2 linked regions of the Caenorhabditis elegans genome follow. The protein of the gene in region 2 purifies or fractionates together with the protein of the main gene of each other region. This does not show direct contact. Each region holds a gene or a part of one and is shown on either strand. Other genes may lie near its edges.

What was found.
Region 1: the proteins of pab-2 (region 2) and Y37F4.1 fractionate together in Caenorhabditis elegans (co-fractionation; one large-scale study listed by BioGRID). This does not show direct contact.

Annotation. Positions count from the first base shown.
Region 1 is NC_003279.8:10,856,141-10,861,427, reverse strand, and holds Y37F4.1 (BAR domain-containing protein), read right to left. Parts: upstream 3,342-5,287; 5' UTR 2,783-3,341; intron 2,620-2,782; 5' UTR 2,437-2,619; intron 1,917-2,436; 5' UTR 1,881-1,916; coding exon 1,809-1,880; intron 1,748-1,808; coding exon 1,469-1,747; intron 1,182-1,468; coding exon 1,043-1,181; intron 996-1,042; coding exon 809-995; intron 768-808; coding exon 659-767; 3' UTR 630-658; downstream 1-629. Other genes in the region: Y37F4.5 (START domain-containing protein), read left to right, coding at 1-169; Y37F4.2 (Sec-independent protein translocase protein TatA), read right to left, coding at 3,808-3,908.
Region 2 is NC_003284.9:13,521,712-13,527,722, forward strand, and holds pab-2 (Polyadenylate-binding protein), read right to left. Parts: upstream 4,113-6,011; 5' UTR 4,109-4,112; coding exon 3,778-4,108; intron 3,755-3,777; exon of another isoform or gene 3,548-3,754; intron 3,386-3,547; exon of another isoform or gene 3,384-3,385; coding exon 3,071-3,383; intron 3,024-3,070; coding exon 2,261-3,023; intron 2,212-2,260; coding exon 1,963-2,211; intron 1,917-1,962; coding exon 1,494-1,916; 3' UTR 551-1,493; downstream 1-550.

The sequences.
Region 1 (5,287 bases), on a different chromosome or scaffold from region 2:
CCAGAAATTCTATACATCTACGCGATTGACTTGTCCAGATGACAGAAGAGAACACTGGTACAAAGCGGGACTACAAAAATTGGCTGAAATTCGAGAAACTCTGCAGGAACCAGTCGCTTGCAAGTCAAACAAATTGGATAAGAAGAAAGATGGAAAAAAGGAGAAATAATGTCGAGAAGGTTGAAGCACTGAAGTAGACTATAGCACTTGAGAGAATAAAATGTGATTCATTTCTGTTCTGTTTTCAGCGTAAATTTATTGTTAAAGCTAGGGGTGTTGTGTGGGACGTGATGAGCCACCCCATAGCAACCTTAGCTATTCAAAAAACGTTTCCAAAATGCCATTCGAAAAAAGTGAAATAGCGGGCGAATGTTGAGGCGATGGAGAGGGATAGAATCCGGGTTGCGCGGCAATTGCGTTATTATGGGAGAGATCACATAGTTTCTACATCTTTTCACTAAAATTTAATGAAAAATATTGGGAAAACACATCTCTGCCTGAAATTGTAGAATTACCCGTCGGCAATCGCCGCGCACCTTTTGGTGGAATCAGGGGTGCCTTGTGGCTGATGTGGCTGTAAACTGATGACTAAAATCAAATATAACACATTTGAAGTTGCAAGCAATAAAAATCACATAATTCTTTATTCGGACAAGTTTCATTTGGATTTCAATGGCTTTTCTTTACTCTTTGGCAGTGCTCTATCATCAAATATTGGGATAGCTTCAGCAATGGATTTGTGGAAGAGAATTGAATCGTCACGAAACCTTAAAATTTTTTTTTTTCGGGGAGTAGTTCCAAAACTTACTTCAAAACTGCATCCGCGTGTTTCCCCTTCTGCTCATTAATCGACTTATTGATAAAGTCAATAACCTTCTGTCTGCACTCATTCCTCCATGTCTGAGCATTTCCCGCCGCGAGTTCGGCTTGCTCCGTTCGCTCCTTATTCTGCTGACTGATTGCGTCGTCGTAGGTTTCCAGCGAGAGCCAATAAACTGAAATTTTTTATTTAGATTCATATTATAGACCCTTTTATTCTTACTCTTTCGAAGCCTTGCGTACTCCCAATAGTCGACGCCAATGAATTTTGTCAACGCCGACAAGTTTTCCAGATGCCTTTGGACTTGCTTTGCTTGTATGGAATCCAGATTGAGCAAGGTTTGGATAGCCGGTTCTAAGCTCTGAAATTTGTGTCCTTATTATCAGGTGCCATTCCATAAGCCAAAAAATTGGGGAGCCTAAGCCTGATTACCTGGGCTTAAATGGTTTATTTGAAAAGCCTAAGCCTACATTTTAACATTTAAAAGCCCTTAGCCTAAATTGTTAAGCCTAAAAATCCAAGCCTAGAAAATATACCAAATTTCTTAGGTGCAAAAAAGTCGTTCCAACTTCCTCGATTTTCAACAGGATTCGCTCTAGAAACTGAATGTCGCGTCACTTTTCTGATCAATTCTGCAACTAAACTCACATCCATTTCTTTGGGGTCAACCTTCGTACCCAACTTTCTTCCTTTCTGATTTATCGCCTGATACGTCTTTAGATACTGCCCAGCGTACTGATAATTCGTATCAGCTTTCATAAGTTCCTGATTCTCAACGAACATTTGAATCAGTGCCTGATGAAGTCGATCTGCGGCTTCTTTATAAGCTTCAACTTGATTGCAAAGCTTCTTCACGTCATCAGTCATCGAAAACAAGCGATTCTTTTTCTTCAGAATCGACGAAAATACACCGTGATTTGGATGGTCCTGAAAACTCTCTTTTTTTTTCGGTTTCGGATTTCGGTTTCGGAGGCATCCAAAAACTTACAGCTAATCCATAAAATAATTTCTGAGCGATTGGCTTTTCATAGCAGCTACTCGTACTCTTCTTGTTTGCCATTAAAAATATAAAATAACTGAGATTGAGATTTCATGTCTGATAAACAAGTATGTTTGTCATCATAAAATGTGTCACGTAACAAAGCAATTTAAATTAGTAATTTTTTGTTTTATTTTTAACATTTTTTAGAAAATATTTGTGATTGAAATTTTGTGAAAAAATTTGAAATTTTTGCTTACTATTAGCTCCGTGTTTTACCAGTTAAATTGCTCCAAAGGCGGTTTTTGAAATTTTCTGTGGAAACTTTCTATTCAACAAAAAATCTAAACAGTTCTCTGGAAATTGTTCTATAGTTTTATGTATTATATTATTTAAAATTTTTATTATTTTTTTATTATATTATTTTAAAATCCGGGTTTGCAGATTTTATCATTTTTAAGATTAATATAAACCTACTGATTGACAAATTCCAAAATCTTAAATTTGTTTAACTGTACGCTTTTTAACATTTTCATACTTCTTGAACAATTTCAAATCATTTTTCTAGACAAATTTGCATGAGGCTTTCCCTATATATGTATTTTGAAAACTAAAATATAATATAAAGCGTTTATACCTTTTAACTACAGTATCCAAAAACATGATAAATATAGAAATTTGGATAACTTTTTGCTTTATTATGAAGCAATTTCATTCAGAGTCCAAATTTTAATTCTCCCACAATATTCAATCAGTGGCCGCTTACACATTAGCAGTGAAATGTTAGTCAGCAACTACATATCCTGTGGTCTGAGATAATCTGTACATGGAAAAATTAATCTAATTGTATGTAAGTGTCAAATCTTTCCCTCTTTGAATATGATATTTGATCCTTATGATTCAAACCAAAACGTTTCCCTTCTTTTCCTATTCATATGATTCACGCCAACCCCAATATCATTATAATTCGATTAAAAACAGACCTATATAAGTTCCTTCTTTTATATTATATTATATAATACCAATGCTTCCTTTCTAGATGTAGACCGCTATCTTCCCCTTTTCTTCTCTTTAATTGTAATTCAGTATTATATTCTTCTAAATAAATTAATCTCAAGAATTCATTTCTTGATAGTAAGTAAATAAAATAAATAATTCAAGCAGAAACAGACGACTATAGCATGAAGCACCCCCGGAAACCAGCAGAGGATGCAGAAACAAAGGTTGAGCCAAACTGACAGAGAGCATCTTTCCTCTTTCACGTAGACGGCGATTGGCGGAAAAATTAAAATGAGCAGAATGTAACAACACGGGCCGGTTTCTTTCATTTCAGCAAGATAGTGTTGCACAAAATATGAAAAATTAAGTTGTTTGGACAACCTTATATACTGGAGGAGTCTGTTAACGGTCATAAACCGGTGCCACAGCTTATGGTTAAACATCATGCAAAAACACTTTGATTGTGTGCTAAAGCATTTATTGAGTCGTTGCTGTGCCAGACGACGAGAGTCTTACTTTCGTCCGGCGCCAGCAGGCAAGGTCTTTCTCGACTGAGGATGTTATTCTCTAGTCGGCTTATATACTCGTGAGGGCGTGACGCTCCCTGCTCAGAGGCCGCGTGGGCGTTAGAGTCATGCGCTTTATGCACGTCTCCAAAGTCCACTCAGTGCAACATGAGAAGTGATCATAGAACACTTCCACAAGTCTATAAACTTTCAGCATCCGTGAAGATAAACTTTTCTTGATTTCAGATATTTTTGTTTAATAATTTGAACTGTAGATTTAAGAAAAAGTAAAATAAGTGCAAGATTGCTTTCTAAAGGGATCTCGAACTTAACACAATTTGGACTTCTTGCTGAAGTTATGAATTGATGGGTTTACCCTGCAACTGAGCCAACGCAACATTTTCAGTGCAAAAAACACATTTTTGGTTTTTTTTATTTCAAAAAAATATTTATAACTATCAACAATGTGACTAAAATAAACTTATAAATTATTTTTTCAGCAACTAGTAGTCTGATTCAGAACTATCGTCTTTTTCATCCGAAACTTCGTCCGGTTCCGTTGGATTGCCCATTAGCTCAGCTATTTTTCGAATTTGCTCTATTTCTGGAAAAACTTTATTGAATTATTGGGACTAAACTTTTAAAATTAAAAATCAAAAATCAAAAAACTTTTTTTAAATCGATTTTTCTACATACCATTTCTTGAATTGAGTATCCTTTTTCCTACATAGCAAAGCTTTTTAAAAGTTCAAATTTGTTTGTAAACCTTCAATTAAAAAAAAAATTTTTAAGACTAGCGCACAAAGTGCGCTATCCCTTCGGGAGTGGGGATAGGGTTATTTCGCTCTAAAGTATCAACAAGGTAGCTGGCGCAGGTTCTCGGCTTTGCCTCAAACCTGTGTTGGGGTTAAGTGTGTTCACCTTGAAATTCAAAATATATTCCAAAGATTTGTTTCTAATTTAATATTTTGAAAAATCATTTAGCGGCTCCGGCGCTTTAGTTTTCAGTTCCTCTAAGATTAAAGAAATATTCTAAGGAGTTGTTTCACATTGAAATATTCTTAAAAATTATTTGGGCGCTAAGTTGAATCTTCTCTAAGATTAGAAAAATATTCTAAGGAGTTGTTCTAAATTCAAAAATTCCTAAGAGTTATCAGCGCCTTCGGCGCTGAATTTTTCAAAGTTTCTGAAATAAAGAAACATACTAAGGAGTTGTTTCTAATTTAAAACTTTGAAGACTTATTCAGCGCCTTCGTCGCTGATTTGAACTATTTCTAAGATTGATGGAATATGCTAAGGAGTTGTTTCTAATTTAAAAATTTTGAATAATTATTTAGCGCCCTGGGCGCTGAATTTTCAGTTTCTCTAAGATGAAAGAAATATGCTGAAAAGATTTTTCAATTTTAAAAAGAAAATGTAAAAACATAAAAGATATTTCGAAAACTTTGATGAGGAGATGAAATGTTAGTTTTTTTTCATAACTTTTTCATTTTTAAAGCTGGAAAAAAATCTTACATATTTGAATTCAGCGTCAAATTCTGAGTCTATTAAAAAAAACAGAATTAAAATTAAACTTAAACAAACCAATTAACAAACGCTCAAAGTTGAAAAATCAAAAATCAAAAAAGGCATTATTTTTCTATTCGGTCGATTATCTCTGTGATGTATGACTCGATTTTCAAAATTTTTTTCGTCTCTCGCTTAAGAAATCTTCAAGGTTTCATATATTTGGCTCAGAATCAGAATAGCTCAAACGACGGCAAAGTTATGAGAGGGAAAAAAAAAGTTTTTGAACAAAAAATTACAGTACACCTACCGTTTACCACCTACAGTACCCTACCGTTTATCACATACAGTACTCCTACAGTATAATATAGGAAGAAGGCAGAAACATCTCAAATCTCAAAAACCCAATACTGAAGCTGCTAAAAATTCATCTGCCCGGAATCTGAATCATCGGTACCAAAAATTCACATTTTATTA
Region 2 (6,011 bases):
CTTTAAAATTGATCCTGAAAATCAGTTTTTTTGATTGAACTGAAAACTTCTGGCACCTGGAAAAATTTTGTTATTAAATTCTGAAAGCGCTTAGAATTTGAAACAAGTCCCCGAAGAAACATTTTCAAAAAAGTTCATTTTAAGTCAGATATTAATTTTCAAAGTTACACAAACTAAATAAATCTCCTAATAAACAAATGCGGTCATTTATATGGCTCAAATTCAGTTTTCTGGATTGAACCTAAAACTTCTGGCACCTGGAAAAATTTTGTTATTAAATTCTGAAAGCGCTTAAAATTTGAAACAAGTCCCCGAAGAAACATTTTCAAAAAGTTCATTTTAAGTCAGATATTCATTTTCAAAGTTCAGAGTTCAGAGGTAAGAACTTGTTCAGATTTTTTGCAAATTGATCAAATTGAAGAAAATTGATTTTTGATGCCGCATTATGTTTTGTTATATTCAAGTAATCCTGTTGTTATTAAATATCAGGTCACCATTATTGAGTGTTTCTCCGCATTTTGAAAGTAATTTTGAAAATAGAACAGATGAGTTCCTTTTATAGATACATTTATCATTATTTAATTCAAAAAGTTTACAACAAAATTATTATAATGATAATTAGAAAAATTCTGGGGAAAACGATAAGATGTTGGGATATCGGAAAAACCACAGAATGGATGTATCAATTGTTATGTGGGTACAAATTGGGGTACAAAAGAAAAATTTTAGGTTTTATGGGAGGATGGGGAGGGGTGAGAGTTGCAATAACTTATATAAGTGGGAATATACTTATTAACACAAAGAGCATATTATTAGGCGGGAAATGACAAAGTTGCACATTGTTGCACAGAAATATCAAAGCATTCAGAAAGAAGCATCTAATTTCAATGAAATTGCTGGCTGGCGGGGGTGAGACGATTTGTTCTGAGCTTGGGCTTCGGAGTACATTACAAGGCCGAACAAATTACCATGTTAAAAATTAGTTGCAATCTCTAGGTTTCCAAGTTTTTGATGAAAAAAAAAAAAACACCGAAATTCTGGAGAAAGTAACAAAGTACACATAAATGTTGAATTGGATTGAAGTGAGACAAGAGAGAGGACCAGAAAAGAAAAAATATTTTTTTTTAGGGATTTTCAGATGAAACTATACACATTCGTTAAAGAAATCAGCTTCAACGCAGTTCAAGACAATTTTAAATACCAAGCAAGAAATGTGAAATTGAAATAAAGAAAAATAGAAGCATTTTTTTGAATTTTTTGAATTTTTTTCCTTTTTTTTTAATTTTTTCTCCAGATTTTTAAATTTTTTTGGGGTTTTTTGTAAGATTATTTGAAGAAAGTACAATAGGAAATGGGAAGGTAAAAAAATTGGATGAGAAATTATGAAATGCAGAATGAATACTGCTTTCAGTACCAAAAAGTATAGCCAACAATTTTTGCTCTGAATATCAGAGAATATTACGACCTTGGCATGCAAGATGAAGTTAGAGAGCTTAGTTTTTAGCAGTTGGAGCAGAAGTAGAAGCAGCAGCACTCTGAGCATTGGTGAGCACTCCAAAGGCTTCCTCGACCTTGCTTCTGAACAACTCAGCGTCTTGGAGCATCATGATCAACTCGGCGTTGTCAATCTCCAGCATCATTCCAGTGATTTTGCCGGCCTCCTTGTGGTTCGGGAACATCTTCTCGATAAGAGCATAGATACGCTCTCCGAGAAGTTGCTTTTGCTCTTGTGGAGCAGCTTGAGCAAGCATATGGGAGGTAAGAGTCTCCTGTCCGTGAATAACGATTCCGGATTGTCCTTGTCCTTGTTGTCCTGGCTGTTGTGCTGGTTGCTGGGAGTGCTGTTGTGGTTGTTGCTGGCGTGGTGGTCCTTGGTAGAACGGCTTCTGTGGTGCTCCGCGTGGGGCTGGTCCTTGCTGAAAAATAGAGAGTAGTATTCATTTTATCTGGATTAAAGCTTACTTGACGAATAGGTGCCCCTCCCATCTGCACTCCAGGTCCTCCGACACGTGGTGCTCCGGCTGGTCTTGGAGCCATTCCATATTGTGGACGACCATCGTTGGTTCGCATTGGTGGACGTCCCTGTTGTTGTGGGTAAACTTGGCGCTGATTGAATGGATATTGCATGAACATCTGGTTTTGGAACACGCGTTGTCCTGGTGGTCCGCGAATTTGAGCAGATTGTGGCTGGAATCCTGGACGCCCTTGAGCCTGTAAATTAAGAAATTAAGACATTTGAATTAACTTTGTAGAAACGTACATTCATTGGATTTGGAACAAAGTATCCTTGTTGTCCTGGCTGGTAGAGCTGAGTCATTGCTGGAACTCCGCTGGCCTGCTGTCCCATGCGAAGAGTTGCAAGTCTTTGCATGTACTGAGATGCCAACTGAGCACGACGATCCTCCTTGCGTTGAGCAAGGGCCACATACAGTGGCTTGGCTCCAATCATTTTGGAGTTCATATCAGTGACGGCAGCGGTTGCCTCTTCTGGCTTCTCAAAGCACACGAAACCGAATCCCTTCGATCTTCCGTTCTCATCAACCATAACTTTAGCAGAAGTGATTGTTCCGAAGGAAGAAAAGTGATCACGAAGACCATCATCGTTGAGATCTTCCTCAATGTTCTTGACGTACAAGTTTACTCCTTGATAACGCTGGACACGCTCTTGCTTCAAAGCTTCGTACTTTCTCTTGAGCTCTGCAGAACGCTCAGACTTCTTTTGAGCTCTGCAGACTGAAAGCTTGCAGTCAGTTCCTTCCAAAATGCTGTCGTTGAGTTTTTCAACAGCTTGACCAGCGGCATCCTGATCAGCAAAAGCGACAAATCCAAAACCTTTTGGTTTGCCTTGCGCATCGGTCATCACTACGGCACTAGTAATCTCTCCAAACTTGGAGAACATTGCGGAAAGCTTTTCCTGGTCGAGATGCTCGCCGAAGTTCTTGACGAAGACGTTGGTGTACTTGAGGCCACTCTCTCCAAGCTCCTTCATGCGTTGTGCGCGAGGTTGGAATTTTCCGACATAGCTGAAAATTTAAACGATTAAACTTGCAACTCAATAGGGTAAACTTACACTTTCTTATCAGAAAGAAGCATTCCATTGACTTTCTCAATGGCAGTTTGCGCAGAGTGCTCAGTCTCGAAGTGAACAAATCCGTATCCTTTGCTGTTTCCTTCATCGTCGGTGGCAACTTTGCAAGACAAAATGTTTCCAAAAAGCGAGAAAGTGTCGTAGACGGACTTGTTGTCAATGACACGATCCAAGTTCTTAATGAAGATGTTTCCATTTCCGGCACGGCGAGCAGCAGGGTCACGTTGGGACCACATGATACGCATTGGACGTCCGTGGATGACTTCGAAGTTCATAGTGTCCAAGGCGCGCTCGGCTGTAAGAATTATTATATTCCATGTGATAAATTGAAATAAACATATTTTTATGAGTTGTCTTCCTCATTTTTATATAACAAGCATTCAAATTTTCTAGCACCTGGTATGCATTCTATAAACACTTGTTTCCCACAGACTACGTCATACTGTGACGTGGCAACTCTTCTAGTGGCTCTCTTTATTGCGCAATTCTGCACAGAGAGATGTGTGAGCAGAACGGGGACTGTTGTTGCGAGGTGAGAGAGCACGGTTTGGTACTGGTGTGTTCATGTGATATATGTACAACGTCCCCTGTTGTGCATACAACAATCTTCCCTTTCGCTGTGCATTGCGTCTCAGATGTTAAAGAGCTATCTCACAAAATTTCTGAATTTAATCAAAATGCAAACTCACCATCAGCAGGCTGCTGGAAGTTGACGTAGGCATACCCGAGCGACAAGCGGCTGGTATTGTCGCGGCACACTCGGATTGAAAGCACCGGTCCCGCCATACTGAACTTCTCGAATAGCATAGCCTCTGAAACATCGGGATGAAGATCACCAATGTAGAGTGAAGCCATCGAATAGGTTGCATTTGGCGGGTATCCTATGTTTGTTGGCGGTGGACCCTGCTGAATGACGGCTTGTGGTTGTCCGGCAACTGCACCGGCGACGACGGTTGCTGCTGCGGTCGGTGGTGGAGCACTGGTAACCACTTGAGTCATTGGCGGTGGAACTTGGGCCATCGTACTGAAAAATAGAAAATTGCTAAAAGGACGAGAGCAGGAAAATGTATTGTGAAACCAAATTCACATAAGAATGAGCAAAATGGGAGAAACTAAAGTGACTGAACAAGGGAAGGCGTGAATGAAGGCAAGTAAGAAAAAAGGCGTGCAGCCCTCCTTTCCTCATCTTTCGCCCACATTTATAAATGGAGTGGAAATTGGGTGCAATGCTCAAATGCCCTGGCGTGTCAACGACGTATCTTTATTGTGTTGGAATGGGCATGAAAATTGCTTTCTACTGTATTTTTACGAGATTATAGAAATCCATAAGGAACATGGAAAGTCGAACGTAAAAAGATTAGGATGTGAAACATCCGATGCTAAGGCAATAGGAAAAGAAAAAAACATCGGAGTCAATGATGGAAAACCGGGAGTGAACAAGGAGAAGAAGCCCAGCCAACACTCTTTCTCTTTTTCTTCTTTTTGCCCCGCTGCTTTTTATCGTCTATTGAATATATAGATATATTGCTGTTGCAGCATGGGCCTGCCTCGGGAGCGAGGGGACGACGAACGATCGCGTCAGGCGCAACAGATAGCGACAATAGTTTTGCGGAAGAAGAAAAAACCGAGAGAGGAGAAGAAGAGAGTGAAACGAATTAACAGGAAAGGAAACCAAAAAGAGTGGGAGAGAATACTGTAGAAAATGTATAGTTTTATGGATGATTCTAATTCACTCGTGTATTGACAATCGCCTATCGAATTGATTGGTTTTTGATCTCCCTCCCCCTTACTATTCTTCGCTATCTGTTCAGGATCTACTGTCGTCGACACAAGCCTCACCCTCTTCCTTACACCACGGAGGAAGAAGACGATTGATATTATCTGAGCCGCTAGAGAAGCAGGACAAGGAATGCGGCTGTGTTGTGATGATTGGTGGCGGTGATGATTCGACAATAACTAAACGGACTGCGGCGAAAGGAGAGGAGCGAATGAGGGGCCCAGTGAGATGATTCATGCATTCTCTTCAACTGCCACAACATATAAACATGACGGTTTTATGGCTGCTTCGCTCTCGCTCGGCGCCCTCGTTTTTCAATTTTTGACGTGTTGGAACCGAACGGAAACAAAATTGGAAAACAGAATGATAGCGAGCAAGGAAAAGGACACCTATGTTATTGTATAGAAACATGTGATTCTGGGCCCTATTTTGCCTATTTTTATCATTTGCAGTCTCCGTCATATGGTGTTTTTGTTCGATAATTGCGAAATTTACAGAGAAGTGAGAAACACTTATTGCTAAGTCTGAATATGGGAAGAGCTGAAAGACGTTCGATAATGATAGGACAGGTTTATTGAAACTTGGTTGATGAGTATTCAAGCATTTCTACATATTTACTTCAAAAAAAAACTTACTTCTTTGTTGGTTCGTTTGCAGGTGATGATTTCCAATCAGCAAGAATATTAGTTGATGTTGAGTTTTTTTTTTGGTTTTTGTTGAAGTTTTTGATTAAAGTAGTCTAATTTTTTTGGGTTTTTTGGGGAATTTAAAGGTTACAGTGGAGGGGTAGATAGTCTCTCCGGGACACAACAATATAGACGTGTCAGTCGTGTGTGTGTGCCTAGTCCGTCCGCGTCGCTCAGCACGCTACGCAGAGAGGTCGCAGCAGAAGCGAGAGATGTGATACGCAGAGTCCGTATGGGCGGTTGGAGGGGAAGCGAAAACGCTGCTGCTGCCCCCAACAGGCAGCGTTGGTGTCCGTTGGTTTATGTGTGTGTCTCTGGCTATCTCTATGTCTCTTTTCTCTCACTCTCTTTCCTCTTTTGCAATGTGTTTTTGGCTTGCTGGTTATATGTGACGTGTGATAAGGACTGAGGGACCGGGGAAGCTTCCATAAAAAGTCTGAGAAGTCACAAGACCTGACGA